Mytilus edulis: one gene and its partner. The main gene of each other region encodes a partner of the protein of the gene in region 2 in a complex. Links are inferred from orthologs where the notes say so. Each region holds a gene or a part of one and is shown on either strand. Other genes may lie near its edges.

Region 1 (3,760 bases), about 55 Mb from region 2:
ATCAATCAGGGCTCACGCTACCAGGCGACTTGGGCGAAGTAGTCGCCTTCCCGACCGTCACTTCGCTTTCCCCAACCCCCAAAAGCGAAAACAAGTAGCCCTGTTCTTGACGATACTCGCTTTCAGTCGCTTCCGTCATCGGACATTTCAATTTTTACCAAGTTGATGAAACATCAATTTTTTATTGATAATTTAAGAAATTCAGACATAAACAGTTCATTATCTTTAGAAAAGAGGTTGAAGCATTGTCTTCGCAGTGTGGAGCAGGTTATTTGATAAAAATACAACTTTTTATCACTTCGTGCATTTCCGCAAGTTCCGGTGCTTGTTACTCGAAAACGTACATCAACCAAAATTTCGGCAGCAAAATAAGTTTGTTACTTCATTTAAACGTGATAAAAGCTGCCTCCAGTAAATGTTTAATCCATTTATTGCATTAAAAACGTCATGTTCCTTTCCAAATAACTTGTCAAACATCGTTTATTTTTGTAAATTTTCTTGCATTCGTCCGCCATTGACCGATTTCTAAACTATGGATATGAATCAGACCAGCTATGACCGAAATCTGTACTTTTACAATAATTACTACGGACGCACGGATGGAACAGCTGACAGAAGAATATTGATCCCAAAGGGAAAAATTACACATTCCACACGCATTAAGAGACTTTTGGTTACATCTAATTGATTGGTGTATATAATTTCCTATATTTTTTATGGATTGTTTCAAACTATTGATTAAAGTTGCTTACCTCTAAGACTATTACACTAATATCAATATATTATGGCCCAGCTTAATAACTTTTATATTTTTTTATCAGAAACACTGAATTTCATACACACGATAATTTTCAATTAAATTGTAATTGATATATATTATAATTTTCTTTACATTTTTTAAAATAAAAAAATATTTTTTTAGTGCTAGATATTTATTTGGTAGTTTCTCACAAGAACCTTAGTAAAAATTCAACAACTTTTAATTTCAAATGTTACTTTAATTGTAATTTTTTTACTCAGATATGAATTGAACAATATAAAAAGAACATTATTGACATATGGCCCTTTATACTATTGTAAAATCCAAACATTGTAGCGCACCACACAAATAAGCACTTCTCTTTCAAATCTCACCACTTCTCCCTATCAGTTTCAAAAAGAGAAGTCACTTCTCCCTATAATTCTGAAGTAGTGTGAGCCCTGAATTCAATGAGACACTATGTTTGGCTTGTAATTTCACCTTTCTATATATATTCAGAAAGAGCTAAATACAATGTACTGTATCATAATAAAAATCACTTCATAATGAACATGGTCTTGTTAGTTTCAAGTTGATGTGACTGTAAAATACCAAAATTTTAATCTGATAAAAGAAGGAGAGTTCAGAGATACAAACATGTGTACAGACATGGAAAAAATATTGGCACTCTTGTCTTTTACAATGTGTTAAATATGAAAAATGGCATTACAGTAAATGGACCACTTTCAAGTTTGTTTGCTTTACCATTAAAAAACATAGGTTTTAGTGAAAATCATATGTGCCTTTTAGGGCAGCATAACTTCTTCCCCATGTTGGGAGAGCAGTTGAAAAAAAATAATGCTGTATTGCCGAGTTATTTGACAAATTAAATTCTCATAATTGATAATCGGAAATTGCAATTAATTACCAATGGAACAGCTAATTGTGCATAATGAGGCTTTATAAACTTAAAAGTACAGGGATACATGCAACCTCCTCTATCTAGAATGATGTCATAAAAAGGATCTTGAGGACATTCCTTGAAAGTATTCTATTTCTACTAATGATTTAAAATGAATATACCAAAGACAGAACATCAGTCATCACTATTACATTCCTTGTCCTTTGAAATAAGCCTCTAGATTTCAAATTTTTGTCTTGAATATGCAAGAACTATGTGCCTTTGGACATACAGCGAATAACAATCAATCATTTCATTACATGTATTTACAACATTTATGATTGGGAAAAATAATAATATCTGATATCATTTTATATACTCTGACAACTGTAAGGGTAGAAATGCCCTTTAATGTCAGGCATAAAACAATCGTTTCTGGCTGCTATTTGCGCCATATTGGTTTAAAGTTTTCTGAGATTTCGTCAAAATTCCCTTTTTTTATTCGTCAAAGGTCTGAAATTATTCATTGTAAACAGCATTTTGGGGGAAGATAAGTCCCAATTTTTTTCTATTGTCTAAAAGTATCGTCATAAACCAAAATCTACCGTTATTATCATTCGGCAAAAATTTTACTGTTATTCGTCATTAATCTGTTAATGACACTTGACATCAAGTTGCCCTCATAACGACCCTCAGGCCTCACCTATAAGATCAGTTTGAAAGAATCAAAGTTTTACGATTTTTAGGTGCAATGACATTGGAATATAATAATTTTTCTTAAATGTTGCAGCAATATAAACACTAAATTTCTGCCTCAGACTCACTCACTCAGTCTGATGTCCGGCTGCAACAATTTTCATTATTTTGTACATCCAAAAACATTCAGTTTCTATTTTCATCATGGTGTATTTTCTGCAATATGTGAAGTGTATATATATGTGTCAAATTCTTTTACAAAATTACCGTATTTCTGTTTGATTTTATGGTAAATGCATATCTGGTAAGTCTCTTCTGGTAGGGTTTGGTCAGTCCAAAACAGAAGGGAGGTAATTTCAAAACTTCCGGTTACAGAATCGCTAAAGAACAAGATGGCTGCGCCCATAATTCAAGTTCGTGTAACTTTTAAATTAGCTTTTATATGTTGTTTGCGCAATTTCATTTGATAAATATCTCCAAAAGTGTTATTTCTAAGGTCAATTTATGTTTATTAACATAATTTCTTCTCCTTTCATTCTTGCAATATGTTAAACACGTTGTGTGATTATATTGGGAAGACGGTATCGGGTTATTTCGCCCCTATTATATATTCGCCCAAGATTGGCCCGTCCCAAGATCTTATTCGCCCTAGTTTTAATTGATAAAATATACTTAAGTATTTAGGTTTTAATGTATGTTGGCCTTTCAATGATCGACATTTGAACTCGCAATTAAGTTTGGTATGTTTCTCAAAAGCTGTTTTTACCAGGTTTTTTGTTTACACGAATTGTAGCTTGTGGAGACAGAATGGGCTATTCCAGAAATACCCCCCCCCCCCCCCCCCCTATGGAAGACATCAGTTGTAAAAAAAAATTCCATGGAAATATTTTTCATCATTGCCAAAATTTTCAGGAATTCCAGAATTTAAAATCATTACACTACTTAAAAATACTGGAATTTTCTTCATAATTCAGATTAGTCCAAATAATTATGACGTCTTGAAAGGCTATTATAATGACGTCGAAGTAAGGTGTCAAAGAAAAAAATTATAATAGCCTTTCAAGACGTCATAATTATTTGGACTAGATTCAGATTGCATCAAATTTTATTTAAATCTATTCACTGAAAACTCAATGTTACGTACATGTATATTATCTTATTTCCGTAAAGATACATCAGAATTGATTTGAAAATAAATCAGACAAATGAGTCACCTGTGTTTTTCTTGGAAGTGCAGTTGTCCAGTAAGTTCGCCCATGTGTAGTAGTAGTACACATGTATGGAGGACCGGTTTACTATAACTTAACCAACAAGAACATAAGGAAATGATGTTTTATTTATGGACCACTAAGATAAGAACTATAGAAGAACAAAATTTTAAAAAAATCAATTCAATATGACAAAGGAATTGGTGAAAAAGACGA
Region 2 (3,760 bases):
TTGCAACAGGCCACCTATTTAGTATTGACCCCTCATATAAATGTTACAGCGAATGGATCTTAACCATGTTAAACATGCAGAGAGAGAGTGGCAAATTCCCTACACCATAACCAAGTGTTACTAAATACTTTACATGCCACAAAGTCAAACTGTCTTCCCACTTGTTCTGTAGCAAGGGTTTAATAACCGGATCAGGAAAATACATTCAAAGTTTTATATATCGATGTTAACTTCAGTTCACTTAACTTTATTTGTACAATTTGATGTCAATCAAACCAGTTAGGCATAATCATTAAACATAGTTATCACATCCAACCAAACTTAAATAGCATGATAAGTAAAGTAAATATATACAGGATTACCAAAAATTTTATATGAAACAGGCATTACTGTACATGTTGACAGGGGACGAAGTCTGTTTCAATCTTTGTTAATTCACTCATATTTTAATGTTCAAATAGAAAATGGAAATACCGTAATTTTTCCTATGTTGGTCCTAGCCTGTTCTTAGAAATGTTAGTTGTGACATCATTTTTGACACGACATCATTTTCAATGTAAACATAGAAACACTATCATCAGGTAATGTTTTTTTTCATATAAAAGAATAATCAACATTTTTTTTATTATTGTGCTCCATCCTAGGTTTGACTAGACTTATAAATACTTGTTTTACCCAAAGTGTCAGAACACTCGAAACCTGAGGAAAGAAAGAGATTTCTGTGCAAATGCGGGAAAATTAAAGTTTAAAAATAAAAAATTAACACTATCGAGTTCATTAGTTGATCTCATTAGGGTATAAGTGTGACATGGGAATGGCTAATATTTTTAAGCATGCACATGAAAAAAATTATTAAGCATGAAAACAAGAAAAGAGTCCAACAGGACACAGGAAATGACATACGCTTTTAAGGCAACGAGAAGCAGGATACAGGATTCTCACTAAAGAATCAGCTGGATACAGAATCGATATCAGACCCGCTAATTAGTAAGATTAAAGTATTGAGTCCCAAATTACGGTTGAAAATAAATCGGGAAAAGTTCCTGAATTTTTCATTCCACTAATGAACTCAAAATTGTTAACTTTTTTTTCAGACTTTTTTGGCGCAGAATTCTACTTTTTTTCTGGTCTTGTTTGCATGAGACTTTGAATAAAATATATATTTATCAGTCTAGTATAATATAGGATTGGAACTCAATACCAATTCATTTTTAATAATTGTTTGATATGAAAAAACGTAACCCGATGAAAGCGTTTCTTTGTTTACATTGAATATGACGTCATAACTTTAATAACATCACAACTAAATTACTAACAACAGAACCAAAATCGGATATGTAACGTTACTTTAAAATAATTCATACAGACTTCATCCCCATTCATAGGTAATGCCTGCCTCATATTGTTGATATTTCTACTGTAATTGGGGACTTCATCCTCATATTAAAGAGATTGACAGAGATGGCCAAAATATGGTGTGGATATTAGTAGCTCAATGGAAAGAGAGAAAGAAGACTTTTTGTTAAGAGACTTAAATGTGACAGTACAGGGATAAATAGTCAATGCATTGTATGTCCTTATTAGTGCAGTTTGTTCTAGAGTATGAATGATCATTTATGCATACATAAATAATGTATATACATTGAAATGAAAGTATTGGTAACTATTTCAGTGTGTACAGACATTTGTGGGTAACTGGGTTACACCATTGTTGATCAGGCTGAGGGAATCTGGGTCCATTTGCCCTAATTCACATTTGCCCTGATACCTGTTCGCCCAGGGTCCATTCACCCTGATTTTTTTTTCTTCTAATTGTTGTCCATTCACATATGATAATTTTAAGTATTTGAACAAAATTTGTTAAAGTTTGTTGAAAAATTGACAGAATATTTATATTGCTGCAATCAATCATTTTCCCTTCGGTTTACAAAGTAGAATACTGCAATACAATGTATTTCTCTTTATTGATTATGATATTTGTTAACAAAATAATTGTATTCAGTCAATCATGAATGTATACTAGTCTCAAAGTATAATAATAAATGAACTTGTAAACCTCTTTCATGATTTACAGTTCGTACATATTTTTAACAAAACAAAACATTTGATTTTTATTAATGATCCATCAAAAGACAAGTATCACAATAATCAGTGATCCGAATTATTTTGTCATTGAACAATTTAAAATGATCCTGAACAAGCCATAAACTTTTAAATGTTTCCTTGTTTCCATAAATTTCAAGAATGTATACCATAGAAATATCTGAATAAGTTTATTCAACTTCAATGTCCTGAATATTAAAAATTTTGGAGAGTTAACGGACTCGATGCCTATGGGCGAACGAACTCAGGGCGAACGTACCTAGGACATGTTATTAGGGCGAACAAACTCAGGGCGAACGAACTCAGGGTGAATGTACTTAGGGCGAACATGTTATAAGGGCAAACGGTCCCGATACCAGAGTGAGGAGATGATTTGCCTACAAATTACAATACGTCAATAGTTCCAACATTAGAAGACTTTAGTGTAACAATTAAACAAATATAACCATAGTTATACAATTAAAATAATATCCATCACATTTGATAAAGAATTTTGAAAAGGAGAAGGCGGATAACCATCACGGATTCAAGGGTTTATATTTATTTCCGCACCTATCACAAGCCGAAGGTGTTTCAGCCTGGTAATACTGTCTTTCTTGTGGTCAGAAACTTTCTGTGCTGATTTTTTAATATCCCCATGAGTTGTTTTGGTTCTAAACATAGCCAAAGCCGAAGACATTAATCTTATAGCATCAAAATGCTACATTTTTTGTAGGAAAACAGTATTTCGTCTGCAATCCTCTGAAAATGGCGATCGGACGATGCGCAGACGCGAATCTTTATTCCGTTTCCGGAAACGGGTTTCTCTAATTACCAATTTTATCATTATTTCCATTGAGCCAAAATGACCGAAATTAGCTAACATTATTATGATTATTAGAGGTGATACTTTTACTGGTTGATAATTTTTCATTTTGCTCAAAACTCAAAACAAAAATTTAATCTGTCTAAAATGAGAAATAGCGAATTTATATAAAAAAAAGTTAACAATGTATTTTTTATCTCACAAAAACAGCTGGGACCAGTATATAACAGATAACAATAAAAAACAATCGGTCAATTTTACCAAAAAACAGATAAAAACAAATTAGTGACAAGTCACTAACAACTTAAAGCACACATTTTTTTACTAAATAACAGTTAACAAAAATATGAAAATGCTTAAAATACATTGATAGGAAAAAATGCCCCCCTTTCAATGAACTTTAAAAAAAATTCTTTTCATTCGAAACTCATGGACCAATTATTCAAATCATTGTAAGACACTTTATATAGATGTTCTTGTCCGAGAAGACAATATATTTGAAATGAAATTGTAACTCGAAAAGAGCATCATTCAGTTTCGTTGCTGAACTTATGATTAAATGGGCACTAGCTGTCAAATTCATGATCATTTATGTTCACCGATTTCACTCAAATTCTCATATTCGACTTACACTAATTAAGAAAGTCTAAAATAAACAATTATTTAACGATGCATATTCTCGAGATTTTTATCAGCATCTTGTGTTTATTTTAGTCTAGACGTCATCTTAGTTAACCATCGAGATGACCTTTCGTAGGCCCGGCTGCCGACGTTTATAAAACCTGTTGTAAACATAAATATAAAAAGATAATGAACTCGTACAATTTGATTTTCTATGTCTGTTTTAATTTA

The links. Proteins that work in one complex are often made in the same cells at the same time.
Region 1: ral GTPase-activating protein subunit alpha-1-like (region 2) and ral GTPase-activating protein subunit beta-like share a complex: the UniProt entries of both Homo sapiens proteins name them as parts of the heterodimeric RalGAP1 complex. The link is inferred for Mytilus edulis from reciprocal best matches to the Homo sapiens genes RALGAPA1 and RALGAPB.

The regions. Positions count from the first base shown.
Region 1 is NC_092346.1:6,423,479-6,427,238, reverse strand, and holds the start of ral GTPase-activating protein subunit beta-like, read right to left. Parts: upstream 2,719-3,760; 5' UTR 2,604-2,718; intron 1-2,603. Other genes in the region: tRNA pseudouridine synthase Pus10-like, read left to right, coding at 2,729-2,749. UniProt on the Homo sapiens protein: Non-catalytic subunit of the heterodimeric RalGAP1 and RalGAP2 complexes which act as GTPase activators for the Ras-like small GTPases RALA and RALB.
Region 2 is NC_092346.1:61,483,410-61,487,169, forward strand, and holds the start of ral GTPase-activating protein subunit alpha-1-like, read right to left. Parts: upstream 2,869-3,760; 5' UTR 2,783-2,868; coding exon 2,656-2,782; intron 1-2,655. UniProt on the Homo sapiens protein: Catalytic subunit of the heterodimeric RalGAP1 complex which acts as a GTPase activator for the Ras-like small GTPases RALA and RALB.